2 linked regions of the Canis lupus familiaris genome follow. The protein of the gene in region 1 binds, or shares a complex with, the protein of each later gene. Links are inferred from orthologs where the notes say so. Each region holds a gene or a part of one and is shown in the gene's direction. Other genes may lie near its edges.

Region 1 (4,536 bases):
ATCTTAAGGTATACAGGGACAAAAATAAATATGTCTGAGTCGGAAGGAATTGAGAATTCTAGTCTCCTCACCCTTCCTTGTTTCTCCTTCCTCCTCACAGTCTCTGCTTGAGTTGACAGGGCAGCCTGTTATCTCTGGGCTGTCACTAAAATGACGGTCTTCCCTAGACCTTTAACTCTCATGCACCTCTTACTATGTCTCAAGTCATTTTACTCCATTCAGACTCAATGCCCTCTCCTGGAATGTGAGTTTAACATCTCCTAAATCACTAAATCGTTATGTGGCTTAAATATGTAACCTGACACAGTAACAGTATTCACAAGAGTCAAAAGATGGAAGTCACCCAAGTGTCCATTCACAGATGAGTGGATAAACAAAATGCATATACAAACACTGGAACATTATCCAGCCTTTAAAAGGAAGGAAACCCTGTCACATGCTTGTACAACATGGATGAACCTTGAGGACCTTTTAAGTGAAATAAGTCACAAAACAACAAATACTATATGATTCCACTTACGTTGGGGGCACCTAAAGAAGTCAAATTCGTAGAGACAGAAAATTGAATGTAGCTGCTGGGTGCTGAGGGAACATACTGTTTAACAGGCAACAGAATTTCAGTTTGGCAAGATGAAACAAGTCGTATGAGTGGTGCGGATGGGGATACAATGATGTGAATGCATTTAATGCCACTGAACTATATACTTAAAAATTGTTACAATGGTAAATTTTGTTACATATGTTTTACCATAATTTAAAAAAAAAAAAAAAGAAAACCTCAGAAAATCCCTAGCTCAGTGACAAGTACACCGTTGGTGCCTAATAAATGTCAATTCTCTTCTTACCATTCACTGGTATGACACCTGCCTTGGGATCGTGCTGTACATAAATCCCTCACCAGCTGATGTTAAAAGACTATCAAGCCTTTCCTGAAAAGGACTTGTTTCTGGAAGCAGAGGGTGACACGTAAGGGAGAGCCCCAGGCACGTTGTCGCCATCCCACCCTCCCTAACTCCCTGAGAGCAGCTCCCACTCGTGGGCGTCGCCCAGCACGTAGGTGTGGAGCGAGACGACCAGTGTCCGAGGAGGCAGCGTGACCCCTCCACCGTGGATGCGATATTTTCTTGTTTGACCCCGAGGACCTGGGAGGGGACGCGAAGCAAGGACTTGACGCTGCGGAGCTCGGACTTCCTGCCGCCTGGGGCTCCCGAGCTGCCCCGCCTGCTCCCCCGCCCCTCGCGCCTCCCTCTCCTCCCACTCCCCGCCCCTCGGCCCACCCCCTTCGGACACGCCTCGACGGGAAATCGAAAGTGAAATAGGGAGCCTGCCGCCGGCTGCCGAAAGCCCTGAAAAGGTGAGTGACTCGCCCCGACCCGAGTGCCCCCGCCCTGGCTGGGGGACCTCTCTCCCCTGCCCCATCTAGTCCTCGCCCCTGGGGCCTGCAGACCCGGTTCCCCCAGGGCTAGCCCAGCCCCAGCCCCAGTCCCAGCCCCAGTCCCAGCCCCAGCCCCAGCAGTTCCTCCCGGGCTGGCAGCCTGCCTGGGACGGGGCCCCAAATGTGAACGTGACACCCAAGCCCCCGGGGGCGCTGCCCTAAGCGGGGGGCACCGGGGCAGAAACCTAGCCCAGCCCGGAGTGTAGTCCGGGCACTCCCCTCGACACTTCTCCTCTGGGGGTGAGAGGGGGCAGGACAGTTTCAGACGCTAGAAACCTGTGGGTCTGTGCCCCAGAGGCAATGAAGCCAGCTACCAGGTTCCCAGAAGGGAGAGGAGAGCCCAGGGAGTGCTCAGGCACTGTTCATGTGCGCATATAAACATATACAGGTACCCATATGCACACATATACCTGCAGGTATATATACATACAGACAGATATGTAGAAATATATTCTTATGTATATAATCACAGATATAGAAGTAACTCCTGTGATTATTGTGCAGATAATGAAGATATTTCCAAAGCAGGTAGCACCTTCTCTGGCTTATGGAGTGTACAGAGTACATGGTCCCTGTCATACAGATGAGCTGCTCAGCAGCGGACTGGTGACCTGAGAGGGCAGAGAGTGGACAGGAAAAGCCTGGGACAGAGGATGAAGCAGAGAGGGCCATGATGAAAATAGAGTTATAAACAGCTTTATCTCTGAAGTTCTCAACAACATTCAGTTTCTTTGGGGGACTCAGTTTCCCCTTCTGTCTGACTAGGTAAGTGGATGAGACTAGAGAGGAGAAGCTCTTATTATTCAAGTTAATGTTCTGGTGTTGTTTTCACCCCTTCCACTTCACTGTTCCTTGTGTTTTCCTTTGGATTGTTTTTCTTCTCACACAACCCTTCTCTTCTGCTCATTTCCCTCTCTCCTCTCCCCACCAGGGTACCCCAGGATCTCCACAGTGCTGCTTACTAAGAACATCACCCCTATGGCTGCAGCAATGCCCTTGGCAATGATGTGGGAGGAGGTCACATGCCCTATCTGCCTGGATCCTGTAGTGGAGCCTATGAGCATTGACTGTGGCCACAGCTTCTGCCACAAATGCATCTCTGAGGTGGGGAAAGATGGTGGCGGCGTCTGTCCTGTGTGTCAGCACACCTTCTTGCTCCGAAACCTCCGGCCCAATTGGCCACTGGCTAACGTGGTGGACAACCTTAAACAAATTGGCCAGAATGCCAATGAAGTCACACAGAGGGAATGGTGTCAGGTACATGGAGAGAGACTGCACCTGTTCTGTGAGGAAGATGGGAAGATCCTCTGCTGGGTATGTTCCCAGTCCCAGAACCACCGTAACCACAAAACGGTCCCTGTCGAGGAGGCTGCTCAGGAATACCAGGTAAGGACTTAGCACAGAGGCCTGACCAAGTAGAAGGGAGCTGGGTCCGTGCTTGGGGTTTTGTTCTCCAGAGTGAGGGAGGCAAAGTCACCTGTGGAGTTTCAGGGTTGGGAAAAGGAAGGGGTTTCCCACCTTCCAGGTCTAATTGAAGCAGAGAACTGCAAGCTCAGGACAGCTTTCTCATTCCCCAGGACCAGGGAGTACGCTTGGGAAAACGCTGCAAGGATCACACTTCCTTGTGGCCTTCTGGTTAATTAGGAATGAGGAATGCTCCAACTCCACACCACCACCTCCAACAGCGTGGCTGTGTTTTGAAAGAAACCTCAGGCTCTTGCCAAAGTCTTCCCATCCCCAGAATCTCTATCCCAATCAGACTGTAGTCTTCCCTCTTTCTCTGCACTCAAGTTTTTCAAAGAACCAGCATGTCTTCATGGCGCCTCACCCTACTTCTTGGACTGGTCGGGCGCTAACCTACCTTTCTCTGCAGGAGAAGCTTAAGGTGGCATTAAGGAAACTGAGAAAAGAACAAAAGTTGGCTGAGGAGTTGGAAGTGAATACTGCAATGAAGAGAGCAGCCTGGAAGGCAAGTGTTGTGCTCCAAAGGGAATCTCAGGTCAGAAGCCAGGGCAGAGTCCAGGGCCCCAGACTCAAACCCTAAGCATAGCTATGCCCATCTGAGGAGTGATAATATATCTCACTCACCATGAACCAGCTGTCCTCTAGGTCTCTTGATAGAGGTGAATAAAAAGGAGAGAGCTCAGATCAGATAGCAAAATCAAGAGTCTTAGGAGAAGGTGCCATACCCTTCGGAGAGGTACAAGCCATACCCTAAAGCTCCTGCTCCTTAAGCCTAGTCTTAAAACATGACGGCACCTTTGCCTCCATGTCTGGTCAGTGGTCTCTCAGGAGAGATGCCCAATGGCTAGGCCTGTCAGGAGGTACAGACTTAAGGGAACAATCCAGGTCAGACATAGGCAACTATCTGGTCATGCTGGTTTTTCTGACTGTGTTCAGATCACTGGTCCAAAGTAGGATGGAGAATAAAGCTTGTTCTGTATCTATAAGGGCATGGAGGGAACTCATGGCCAATAGAGCCCAGAAAGGAAGATTTGGGATCAGAGAAGGGTGAGTCAGGCTGTGGTGGCAAAAGGACTCATCCTGTGCCATCGGTGACCTTCCAGTCACTAACAGAAGAGCAGCCAAGATTATCCCCAAAACTCCTTTTCCTCAGGCCTGGGGAACAGTGTTATGAGCCTGTGTTTGGATGGTTGTTGGGGTGGGGACAGGTGTTACTCTCTCAGGAACTCACTAAGATATGAAGACAGATTTGGGCACATCGAGGTGCAGACTGGGTTTTGAAAGAGGCTGTAGAAAGTCGATAACATAGGTCAATGCAGCTGTGGTTGTAGGACAGCCCCAGTGTGCCCCACCATAATCCCATTTCACTCTTAGCCCAGAAGCCTCACCCACTTCCTGCTCTAGCAAAATAGTGTATGTTTGCTCTCAGACCCAGAGTGGTGAGTCTATGGGGAATAGAAATGGAAATGACCACCTCTGTTCCCCAGGCTTAGGGGATTTTGACAAAATCATCCTCTCTTTCCATGGACACCAAAGAGTCAGGTTGAGAGACACAAACGGAGGATTCACGCAGAATTTGTACAGCAGATAAACTTCCTGGCTGCGGAGGAACAGAGGCAAATGCAGAGGCTAGACAT
Region 2 (4,632 bases), on another chromosome or scaffold:
TTATTTTCAAGAAAAACAAAAACAACAACAAAAACAAAACAAAACAACTAAAGGTTCGTGAATAGCTTAATCGAGAATTGGTCACTTTTCAAGCCAAGCACCAAGCACCGAGCCTGAAACCAGCACATACCTGGGCAAGAGAGGTTTAATTCCAGCAAAAAGGGAATCATTTTTAATGGTCTGTCACACTGGTTATTTATTTTTTATTATTATTTTTTTTCACACTGGTTCTTGAAGGTATTGTCGTACTGCATGCTCAAGCAATACTCTATTTTTGTGATGACTTAGCAGAGGGCTCTGCTTACTTCTGAACTTGATCAATCCTCTCCTTTTTTTTTTTTTTTAATTTTTTTTAATTGAAGGTTGGAATTTATTCCCCTCTCCCTTCCACTGTTCTCCAGGGGTCACCGTTTGTGGATTTCGCACGGTCATCCGACCTGGAATGCGGCACACTCCCTGCTCTGGCCGCCCCCAGGCTCTCCCGGGCGGCGACAGGCTCGCAGCAGCTCGCCTTTCAGACGGCGACGCCGCCGGACGTCGTCGGCGGAGCGCGAGCAGCCCAGCGGCCCCGAGCGTGGCGCTCCACGGCCCTCACAGACCTACCGACCGTCCCCTTAGCTGTTCCCAAGCTCGTCTGGGCTGCCAGGGGGCTGCGCAGCTGTCCCACCGCACACCGTGGCAACCGCCGTGTTCTCCTGCTCCCCTAAAATTAAGCCACCGCCTCTCCTTCCAACCGCGCTTTAGTTTACAAAGCGCTTCCACAAGCGTAATCTGCCCCTCACGTCAGGCGTGTTCTCGGGAGGAACCTCGGAGCCGTAGTGCCTACAGAACAGGCACCTGGTGACCCGCAGTGCTAAGGGTCACTATCTCCCAGATGGAGGAAGCAGCTTCGCGGCGGCGGCGGCGGCGGCGGGGGGGGGGCGGGGGGGCGCAAGTGGGACGCCCGCGGCCCTCATCGTCTCACCTGGCCGGCGGACCGGGCTGCCGCCTCCACTCGGTGGCCGGGAACGAAGGCCCGCGGTGGCGGCGGCGGCGGCGGCTCGGGGTCTCCGAGGTCCTCTCGATCTCCGCCAGCGCCCGGCCTCAGACCGCAGACCCCACAGGGCTCACGCCCTCCCCATCAGGCCAGACAGCGTCCGCACAAGGACCGGGAACCCCGCGTCCGCCACAGCCGTCCCGGACCTGCGACCGGCGATCCGGGGCGACGGCGGTGACGACCACTAGAAAGGCCTGCAGGCTCCGGGGTAAGGAAAATCCGTCCCCAGTCAGGCGGCTGACATTTCCCAGGCAGCCGGAGCGCCGCCCACTTCCGCTTCCCCGCCTACCGCGTGGACGGCCCCGCCTCGCGGGCGCGGGGGCTTGTGGGTATCTCCGAGGCGGGTAAAGTCAGCCGAGGAAGGACGTCGCGCAGAGCCGGCGGGACTACGAGGCAAGACGGAAACTACAGTTCCCGGCAGGCAGCGGGGCGGCCGACGGCGGCGGCGGCGGCGGCGGAGGGCGAGTAGAAGAGCCCTCGCGCGCGCGGCGAGGATGGAACGTTGCTAGAGTTCGCGGGTCTCGCTGCTGGGGGTCGGAGCTGCACGCCTTGAGCCGCCGCGCGCCAAAGCGGGAATCCCGGAGGCGTGCAGTTCTGCAATTAATGCACGCGTTTAAAACTCCAGAAGCTGTGGACGCCATGCATAGGTAAACCGATTGCAAAAGGGGGCTGAGAGTGAATGAACCGCCTCAATTCTTTTAGGCCGCGAATATTGCTACGCGCTAATACTGTTGTGAATGTTGTAATTGAATCGTTGCTCAGCCCCTTCTTTGGGAAAGTGTGGGGGGCCGGATGCTTTAGTGCGGTGATCAGCGTGCGGTTTTTGCCTTCCCTTATTGAGCTTTCCTGCCGGTGTACGTTTGCCCCCCCCCCGTCCTCCCCCCCCCGCTTGTCTGTTCCCTCCACTTTAAGACATTCTTGAGGCCTTCTCCGTGATCGTAAATCAAAAAGCCTTTTTGATTTGTTCGGTTATTTTCTTTTTTTCCTTCTTGGAAACTCGCCGCCGGCACTTTAAAAAAAAATGCAATTCTTAAAGTTTTCTGCATTGCATAACTTAGAGTTTCATGTAGGCCTATCTTTGAATTATTTACGGGTGTGTTTTTGAAAGAAACCGGGGCTGTTGTGCATTTCTGCAGGAAACACCTCCAGGAGATTCCAGACCAGAGTAGCAACGTTACCACCAGCTTCACGTGGGGATGGGATTCTAGTAAGACTTCTGAACTGCTGTCGGGCATGGGGGTCTCTGCTCTGGAGAAGGAGGAGGTGGACAGTGAGAATATCCCCCAGGAACTGCTCTCAAATCTGGGCCACCCTCAGAGCCCGCCCCGAAAACGGCTGAAAAGCAAGGGGAATGACAAGGACTTTGTCATAGTCCGCAGGCCTAAGCTAAATCGAGACAGCTTTCCAGGTAAGGTATGAGGGTAAAACTGTCGGTCACTTAAGAAGTGGACTGAACTATTTATTGCTAATCTTTGTTAAGCGATCTTTAGGATGGCACGCTTTTAAAATTGCCTACTTCTGAAGTCGATTTCCAAAGCAATGGGACAACCCTTTGTCACTGAAATCTACAGGAATCTTGGTAGGTATATATTTTCCAGGTGCACAATTGACTTTTAACCCATGTGAAATTTTAACCCAGAAGATCTTCCTGCCTCCTTCCCTTTGAAGGGAATCTGCGTGTTCAAAGGCCAGCTCAGTGCCATTGTTAAATGGGAACATAAGCAATAATCTTGTAGGATTTTTGTTATTTATATTCCGTTGCTCTGTAGCTTCAGTTGAGTTTGTTGCCATAATTGCTTTAGTTATTTGTCAAAGGACTACTAACGTGAATGTTAAACTAGGAGTAGGGCCTTATATCCCTCGGACCTCCCAAGTGGGATTTTTCTGGTTTGATCTGTCTCCATTACTGCCCACATTATCTGTTCAGTCACCCAGCCAGAAACCTGAGGGCCAGTCCCTTCCCACCATCTTCCAGCCCCCAACCAATCATTGAATGTTTCCCTCTTGTCTCCTAGATGTTTTTCATACTCTCATTATCTCTTGCCTGAATATTGGCATGGACTCATAATTCCAGTCTTATCCTCCCCTGATCCATCCCCAGAGCTAGAGTGAACTGACTCAGATGTAGAACTCACCATATCATTTCCCCAGGCTTCTCAGACATGTCATTGAGTATCTCCCAGAGTGGATCAGAATCCGAAGAGTACAAAAGCCATAGGGTAAACACAGTGCAATGACTTAGGGTTATCAGTTTTTCTTGCCAGTAAGTCATTTAAAACATTAATCCAGCAAATATTTGCTGAGCACATGCTATGTGGGAGGCATCGTTCTATGTGTTGGGGATAAGGCAGGGAACAAAACATAAGCATTCCTGCTCTCATGAAGCTTCTGTTTGAGAGGGGGGATGCAATAAACATAATAAATGTGGTGTATAATATGTTAAGAAGGTGGTAAATACTGTGGCCAAAAACAAGTAGAGAACAAGCCAAGAGGGATTGGAAGTCCTGGGGTTGGAAGATGGTTTACAACTTTAAACCTCACTAAGAGATATTAAGGGATAGCCTCACTTAGACACAAGCTTTTTAAGCAAAAGCATACAGGAGGTGTGAGGAATGTGCCACGCAAATATCTTGGAGAAGAGGGCTCTAAGCAGAGGACAAAGGCAGTGCAAAGACCCTGGTGCAAAAACATGTCATGTTTGCTCAAGGAAGAAGGAAGCCATATGCAGACTGAGCAAAAGGGAGAGCAGTGGGAGATAGGGCTAGAGGTGGTGTTGAGCAGATTTGTGATGTCATCTGTTAAAAGGACACACTGATGTGTATGGATTAAACTATAGGGGGGTCACGCATAGAAGCTTAGAGATTTGTTAAAAGGATGGATTCTGACATTAGAGTTGACAGAATCAGGAGGCTATTGAAGTCGTCTGTAGAGGAGGCGATCGGACCCTAAACAGGAATTGGGTGGGTGATAGGGGAAGAATAAGAGGCAGATTAAAAGAAATTAAGATGAAGTCTTGCAGAGCCACGGTAATAAGTATATTCCTCAGTTCTCCCACCAGACTTTCTTTGAAGAAGGGTTGGTTGGTTGCTTTAAAAAAAAAAAACAAAACTATTGTTTCTGGGTTTTGACTTTTTCACTGGAAAAGAGAACCGGCAGGTTATGATCTGGAAATCTATATCAGGAGAGGGGGTGAATTAATTAGGCAATAAAGGATTGTGGTGAAGTCAGATGGATCTGACGTTACATCCTAATTATGCTGTTTACCAGCCATGGGAAGTTATATGAACTCTCTGTGTCTTCGTTTCTCTTGTGAAATGGAATAATAATACCCACTTCATGGGTTGGTGTGAAGATTAAGTTAAAAAATGCACATGAAGCTCTTAGTATGCTGTGTGCTCATAACACAATAAATAAACCTAGTTAATTTGGTCAACAAAATTTCTGACACACATTTGGGAAGCTACTTCACTTTTTCTTTTGTCTTTAATCCAGTTAGCCTGACCTTGTTAGTGTAGTTTTTTTTTTTTTTTTTTTCTTCAGAACTTAATGTTAGGAGATCCCTGGGTGGCTCAGCGGTTTAGCGCTGCCTTCAGCCC

The links. The genes of interacting proteins can lie anywhere in the genome.
Region 2: TRIM21 (region 1) and SKP2 share a complex: the UniProt entries of both Homo sapiens proteins name them as parts of the SCF(SKP2)-like complex. The link is inferred for Canis lupus familiaris from reciprocal best matches to the Homo sapiens genes TRIM21 and SKP2.

The regions. Positions count from the first base shown.
Region 1 is NC_049242.1:26,906,457-26,910,992, reverse strand, and holds the start of TRIM21 (E3 ubiquitin-protein ligase TRIM21), read left to right. Parts: upstream 1-1,235; 5' UTR 1,236-1,354; intron 1,355-2,366; 5' UTR 2,367-2,413; coding exon 2,414-2,821; intron 2,822-3,308; coding exon 3,309-3,434; intron 3,435-4,435; coding exon 4,436-4,536. UniProt on the Homo sapiens protein: E3 ubiquitin-protein ligase whose activity is dependent on E2 enzymes, UBE2D1, UBE2D2, UBE2E1 and UBE2E2.
Region 2 is NC_049225.1:73,293,434-73,298,065, reverse strand, and holds the start of SKP2 (S-phase kinase-associated protein 2), read left to right. Parts: upstream 1-1,416; 5' UTR 1,417-1,639; coding exon 1,640-1,683; intron 1,684-2,172; coding exon 2,173-2,444; intron 2,445-4,632. UniProt on the Homo sapiens protein: Substrate recognition component of a SCF (SKP1-CUL1-F-box protein) E3 ubiquitin-protein ligase complex which mediates the ubiquitination and subsequent proteasomal degradation of target proteins involved in cell cycle progression, signal transduction and transcription.